Linked DNA regions of Struthio camelus. The protein of the gene in region 1 interacts with the protein of each later gene in a biochemical or structural test. Links are inferred from orthologs where the notes say so. Each region holds a gene or a part of one and is shown in the gene's direction. Other genes may lie near its edges.

Region 1 (3,749 bases):
GGAAAAATTGCTATAAAAATTATTTCTTTAAAAAGTGAGAACCCTTTGTAACTGCCATAAGGAGATGGCAGAATTATCAGAGAGAACTTTACTCTGGCTTCTACACATAAACAAACTGGAAGTTTAATCTCAGTGCTTTTTTAACTTATTTTATAATTCAATTTTCTGGATGATTTTGATAAAATATTAGTTTAAGCAATGCACTAAAACTTAAATTACAATGTTCTAAATTGTATTCAAATCATGTGTTGCTAATGCTCGAAGTCGTTTTGGTAAAAATATGGCAATTGCAATGCAGGAATGAACAGATGAAAAGTGGGTTGTAAGTGTGGTTGGCGTTCCTGCCGGTAACCAGGAGGACAGATGAATTATCTCCCGAACCGCACAGCAACAGTGCCAGAGACGATCCCCAGAGGATCCAGGTTCTCGGAGCACGTCTCCTCTCCAGGAGACGGGTTTCCAGGAGAAAGTTCTACTTAGATGGCTTTAATATTAGAGTATACTTCCAAAATTCTAACTTCTTCTGTGCTAAATATAGAAAAGTTTTAGCCTGTTTACACTGACTCCACTGTACTTTATTTCTGTTGGCTGGGAGTAGCTATCCCACTGCCACTGGGCACTGGTAAGTCATGTTTTTGCTTCTAAAACTCATGAAGGCATGTTCATCTGGAACTTTTTATTATTAGAGTTGGAGATATTTCTAGTGGGGGGAAAAATGTATATCTGCTTATTTCCCTTCCCCAAAGAGTATAAGCACTGGACAAATAATTGAGAAATGATGTCACCAAGTCGAGACATGCGACTGCTGGTTTTGGAGCTTTCAACGCTAGTGTATTTGCTAGTGTATTTGTATCTCCTTTGCTCGGGTACTCGGAGGCGGTTAAAGGCGAAGCACGGGCCGGGTCCTGGACACCCCCCCCCCCCGCCCACTTAGCTGCGGTTTCCGAAACGAGATGGTGCAGAAGTGAGTATATTGAAACAAAAGGTATGTTCAAACCTCTGCTTAATTAAATATAGCCCTTTGAAATCTCCTGCCCGCTCCTTTGTAGCGTCCTCTCCCTTGCTCCGCCGCTGGATTTTCACTAGCGTTGCTGGGGGGGGACGGGGGACGGGACGGCTGAGCTGGGGCTCAGCGTTTCGCCTTTTCCCTTCGCCAGGCTGCGCCCCCCGCGGCCGGGCCGGGCCGGGCCCCGGCCGCCTCCCGCCTCCCACCTGGAGCCGCCCCGCGCTGCGGGAAGAGGAAGTGGGAGCTCGGGAGAAGCGGAAATTGCAGCAGCAGGAGCAGGAGCCGCCGCCGCCGCCCGGCCGGGAAGCACCCGCGGCAGCGAGGGCAGCGGCGGCCGCAGCAGCCGCCCGGCACCAACGTGAGCGCCGGGGCCGGGGCCGGGGCCTCCCCGCCCCTCACCCTCCCGGGGCGGCGGGGGGGGGCCGGGCCGGGCCGGGCTCCCCGGGCGGCGGCTTTGTTCGGGCCGGGCCGGGGGCGGCGGCGGGGCCGGGCGAGGGGCTCCTCGGCGCCGAGCCGCCCCTGCCGCGGGCCGGGGCCGTCCTCGTCGCAGTAGACGGCGTGAGGTTTCCGTGACTTTTTTTTTTTTTTTTTTTAATCTGTTCGTAAGCGGAGAACTTGGAGGAAGCCGTTAAAAAAAAGAGCCCCGGTGGCGGCCGGGCGCGGCCCCCTGCGGCGCGGCGGGGGGCGGCCGGGGGCCTGCTGCTGCGCCGGGTGTCGCTGTGGGCGCTGGTGCGGGGCGTTTTGCCCCCGGGGGATGTTGCGGGCGGGGCGGCCAGCCGTGACCGTGAATCAGTCGTTACCGGGGGGGGGGGGGAAGGCCCAGCTGGCCAAGCCGGTTCAAAGCGTGTATATTTAGCCTCAGTGGGCATGAACGGGAGGATTTTCTTTTTCCTGCAGAAATTTGGGCATGTGAGTCAGTGAGTCATAAGTAGATCATGTTTCTCTCCCCGTTGTGTTTGGAAAGGGACGGACGGGGAGTAGCAGGGCTGCGCGGCGGCGGCGAGCTGGGGCGTCCGCGCTGCCTCTCCGGCAGAAGTCACCGCGCTCGTCTGAGGACCGTTGCTACGCGGCTTTCCTCCTCTTCGTAATTCAGTTTATAAGAAGCAGGTCTGAGGCACGGAAAAGCATCGATGGTTTTGTGTGTGGTTTAGGGAAGCAGGTGGTCTTCCGACCAGGACTCTGTTTTGTATTTTGGAGGGGTGGGAATCCTCCTTCCTTGAGGATTGTTTTTAAGAGTTTGAGGAGGAAGGAGAGAAATCCAGACTTAACGATCTAGCTATTGGGTTTCTTTAAACGCCCAAGCACAACTGCATGCACAAAACTAAATGAGTGCTGGAACTATGGACTTAGGGGGAGAAGGTTGTATTTCACACAGCTCGAGGGACAGAACATCCACGTGCGAATATGCACGTGGTTCAGCTCTTGTAGTTTAAGAGTTGCGTTTAGGTGGCAAGTGCCGTACGCCCTGCTACCGGCACAGCAGAGAGGTGCGAGCTCTCCCTCCTAAGAGTCACCGTGAGTTTGTGTTTGATTAGGAAGTTAAACCTTGGCCCTCACACTGAGTTTCGTTATTGAGGTGGTTTGTTTCCGCTTTCCAGCGCTTTCGTTCTGGTGACAGGTTTGTTTTTTGTGAATGCGCTTTGGCCAAGGAAAGAGTACGAGACCTGAGACACAGGATAGCATGAGCTAAGGCTTTAGACTGAGGCTATTCAAAGGAAAAGGATAAAGTACCAATGTTTTAAAGGATTTCACAGCAAATATTTAATCTTCTTATTCTTCTGCATATTAAGTAATTTAACAAATGCTGGTTCTTAATTGCGTAGGAATTGCCGTTTGGACATGGGAGACCCCAAGATGTAAAAGGAGATCTATGCGATGTTGTCAGGATGTTGTCTTCTCTGCTCTTATGCCCTCTTTCCAGACCACTCTGTAATTTGCTGCCTTGGTGTTTGATAATTTTTTCATTCCTCTCGTTATTATTACCAGTCCTGGCATTTCTGAAACGCTTCGTAAAACTGGCACATCGGTGTATTCTAGCAGTCTGTAGAACAGGCAGTGTTTTTTCTGCATAAACTTTAGCTATGGATTGTTAGTTGCATGTTTTAAAATCTGAGTTTGTAGAGCGCACGCTACTGTCATAACATGCCTACTTCTATGGAATTCTGTTTTTTATATGTAAATTATGTACAAAGACAGCCTGTGTCCTAAAGAGACTGCAGTTTAATAAGCACATTGTCTCCATGTGCAATAAGCTCAGAGATTCAGAATCTTTAAGTAATTTTATGTTAATTTTCATATTACGTAGCAGAACAACTGCTTGTCCGGTACTGTGCAAATGTTAATAAATGCCACCTGATCCCTGGAGAACTTTTCATCTTTTTGGCCTGGATTTGTATTTAAGGGGGAGTTTTCATTCCATTTTCTGTGTAAATGAAATAGTCCATGGCAATCATCCTTATAATCTGTTCTTAATTAGAAGAACGAAGAAAAGTGTGTAAGAGGTTGGAACCTTCGGCTTCATCCTGAAACATTCAGACAGGGCACTGAGTTTGCATACGTCTTTGACAAAGGAAAAGTGCAGTAACTTGTATACTCTGCTGTTGCATGCAAGTGGACTAGTGCCTCGATTCTGTGTTAATTTTTATGGTTGTTTGTATTTCTTTCATAATCCTGAAACTTATTACACAACAGAAGAAAGATACGCAGATTATACTGCTTAATGAACAATATCGTGCTCGTCGTT
Region 2 (3,749 bases), on another chromosome or scaffold:
TGTGTTTACTTGTTGACCAATACTAATACTTTCCTCTTGAATTTTATTTATCCTTTCACTCCTCACATCCGCATCCATCTGCATTGTTGGCCTTCAGGCAGTTTGCAATGTAAATATGAACCAGGAAACAACAACATAAAGGTAATCCACCACGGTAATTATTATCATGGCTGTTCAGAAAAAGATCACCTGCAACCCAAGTTTGCTAATAAAAACTGGACTGTGAGGCATCACAGACTGATATTGCTGGATTATTGCCACAGGATGGTACCAGATATAGGCAGTTTGGAGTTTTATTCATTCCAGCTCCACTGCAGAGATAGGAAGACTACTAAGCAATTGCCTTTACGCTTTAAAGACTCAATTCAGGTATACCCTCAAAACACTGAAAAGCATCGCAGGAGTTCGGGACTGATATCTGGCTAAATTAGGCCCTTCAGAAAAATTGTCAGAAAATTAACCATGAAAAACAAGAAAAATGGCTTTTTCTTTAACTGCTGTACTGAAGAAATAAATGAGTTGGAAAACATTTGAATACCAAGAAGCCTTAAAATATATTATTTGGCACTGCAGTCCCTCTGGATCTGGCTGCGTTTTAACTTTATAGGCTCCATTTTGTAATTTAAGTGCAAGACTTGTATGCCGATAATATCCACCAAGACAATCTGTATGCCACTGCACGAAGCTACAACGGATCTATTGCATAATCAGTTGGTAAAGTGTTTGAGCTATTTGAATTTTGATGAGGAAACCCCAACGTGCATTTATGATACAACCCCAAACGTGCATTTATGGTACAACCACGGGGGACAATATCACTTAAAGAGGAATCTTGCACCTTTACTTTTTTGGATCGGAGCCTGGGTCCGCAGCACCTTGGAGAACTGCATCTGGCAGGCCTATTAAAAATGAAACATGAGACCTCATGGCTAGTGAGTTTAGACTTTCAATTTCTTCCTCGCAAAACCTTAATTGACTTGGCATCTCTGTATTGGGAGAAATCCTATGCTTTCTCGCAAATTCTGCTGTAATTTAATAAAACAAAATGCATCATTATTGCTCTTTTTCAGTATCAGTCTTTATTAATAGACTCCGGTCTCAGGAAGAACACAACCTGATAGAAGAGATCACAATAGAGTTGTTTACTAGATTTGTTTCACTTTCCATATCTTCTCCAACTCCGTGTCCTACCAGCTCAGAGAAGACGCTTGGACTCACAAGGGGGAAAAAAATATCTGTAAGGAATCCAGCTGTGGGATGCTTTCTGTAGAGTACATTAGACCAGAGCTTGCCGGTTGAATATTTTCTAGTCAGTTATGCTTTATGACGGCGCCTGAGAAGCGAGCGAGGCGAAGGGGTCGGCGAGCCGCCGAGGGCACGCCGCCCGACCGGCGAGGCAGGACCTCGGCGGCCAGGTTGGACCAGCCCAGACCGTCGGGCACGTTCACGGCGACGCGACCGGCTCAACGTCCGCCTGCGGATGAGGGTCAGGGCGACCCGGGTCCGACAGACCCCGCAGCTGCCGGGCAGCTCTGAGGGCAGGCTGGACATGGGCCCGTGCACCAGCAGGGTCCGCGGCCAGGCCCAGGCACGTCTGAAAAAACGTTCAAAAAACCAGAACGAGAAGTATCTACTTCTGCCTTTGCCTCGTGGTCGCGCTTTTCCTGGAGAGGGCTTTCGGGGCCCGCGCGGCCTCCTCGGGCCCACCATCGCCCTGCGGGAAGTTCCCTTGCCTTCTTCGTGGCCAGCACACTTCCTCACGCTCGTCCCCGCGTCTTCTCTCAGATTTTCAGCGTTAAAACCTTATTTCCGCCGGGGATGCAGCCAAGGCGGAGGGGAAAAAAAACCCTCCCGCCCGCTCCGCTTCGCACCCCCTCGCATGGGCGAGGCCGCGAGATCGGGCGTCACGGAACGCTCGGGTTGGCGCGCCCGCCCTCCGCCGCCGCGCGCAGGGAGGGGACGGGTCAGCCATCTTGGGCCGTGCGTGCGAGTGAGCGAGCGGCCGGGCGGGGGAGGGAAGGAGCGGCCGGCTTGCGGAAGTGCCTTCACTCCCCCGGAGCGGAGCCAGCCGCCGCAGCAGCGAGCCCAGGGGCCGCCCGCCTTTCCCCAGCACCGCCGCTAGCCGAGCAGCATGGCAGGCCGGCTCCCAGCCTGCGTGGTGGACTGCGGCACGGGGTGAGCTGGGGCGGCCGTTGACAGTTGGGTACCGGCACGGCGGCGGCGGCGTGGGGGGGGAGGGGCTGGGCGTGTTCCCCGCCGGCTGCCGCAGATGGCGGCGGGGGTCGCGGCGGCAACCCGGTACCTTTCCTTCCTCTCCCCTCCCCGCGCCGCATCCGCGGGCCGCGCCGGGGTGCGGAGGGGTGTCCTGTATCCCCCCCGCCCCCCCCCGCGAGCCGGTCGGTGCTTCTCGCCTCCCGCGGAGCCTTGCTGCCGGCCGGGCTCCCCCCCCCCGCCCCCCCCCCCGCCAGGGGCGTTGGGAGCCGCAGGCTCGCCCTGCCGCTCCGCCGCCTGCCCAGGGTGAGGGGCGGCCGGTGGGCTAACGCCGGAGCCGGGCGGGCTAGCAAGCGTGCCAGACACCCTGGTGTCGTTCCCGCGGGTAACTAGGCGCCGGCTTGTCAGCAGCGCTCCGTCCTCAAGGGAGTCCTCGCCTAAAGAGCGTGCCGCTTTGGGTGTTTTTGTCAGATGTGCATAATGTCATTTATTCAGTATTATTTCTCTGTCTGGGAAAGGAGAAAGGGGGAAAAAAACCCCTCCCCCTCTAGTGAGCAAGCGCAGAGTAACTTCCTTAGTTTTGTCAAAGCCTCTTCCTGCTTTCAGGCTTTTATACCTTATAAGGCAGTTTTCAGTGTCAAACCTGAACCAAATCCTTTTTAGAAACCGTTTTTTGTGTTTGGCGGCTACCAGATGATGAAGAGAATGAAGTCCTAGTGATGTATAACATGAAATGTGCTTCGGTAGAAGGCTTTTGGGATTCAGAATCCTTTTTTGTTGTTGTTGCATGGCTTTCATAGCCCTTAGGAGACTTAGGTAGCAAACCCGTAGGTGCCCGTGGGAAGCCAACCTGGCAGGGTTACACTGTACCGCTTACAACAACACACCGAGGAAGTGAAAACCTCTCCCTGAGCTCCTGTCTGCAGTATGGTTTTACAGATGGAATGTATTTTTTTGAATATTATGTATCGGGTTTTCGTTGGAAAGAAAGGACTGTTATATTTCAAAGTTCTGTGTCTTGAGCTAGCACAGTTAATGTACTAATTCTTAAACTTCTCTTTTTTGTTGTACTTCTCATCATTTGCTAAAAATAGTTGAAGAAATTTCTCAGTAGGTGCAGAACAGATATGGGTATTTACAGTATTCATAGATGACTTTGGGGAGGGCATGTTCTTTTGGAACCCAGGGATTTGCTATGCTTGTCTTCCCTCCAAAAGTATCCACTTGGTCTAGGGCGTTAATAAATTGGTCTTTTTTTAAATGAGCAGGTATATATGTGTCTATAATGGCTGTATGCTTAATAGTTCTATGAAAATGTCCTGCCTGCAGTTACAGCAAGAACTAAAACTTTGAATTTTGTGGAGTGAAGGGGAAGTTAGCCCAGTAGGAATGTGTGTGTGTAACTGAGTGTAACAGAAGTAACGTGATGTCTATACATGCTATTTACTTTCCTTTTAAAAAAAGATTACTTGAAATTTTGAGTGCGCTCTGCCACACGCATAAGCAGCTTTCTCCCATCCTAGAAGTTTGTGCGTTGT

The links.
Region 2: the proteins of CTTN (region 1) and ACTR3 form a complex in vitro, tested with the Homo sapiens proteins (3 studies listed by BioGRID). The link is inferred for Struthio camelus from reciprocal best matches to the Homo sapiens genes CTTN and ACTR3.

Annotation. Positions count from the first base shown.
Region 1 is NC_090946.1:33,056,202-33,059,950, forward strand, and holds the start of CTTN (src substrate cortactin), read left to right. Parts: upstream 1-1,155; 5' UTR 1,156-1,364; intron 1,365-3,749.
Region 2 is NC_090947.1:37,613,441-37,617,189, reverse strand, and holds the start of ACTR3 (actin-related protein 3), read left to right. Parts: upstream 1-1,073; 5' UTR 1,074-2,131; coding exon 2,132-2,175; intron 2,176-3,749. UniProt on the Homo sapiens protein: ATP-binding component of the Arp2/3 complex, a multiprotein complex that mediates actin polymerization upon stimulation by nucleation-promoting factor (NPF).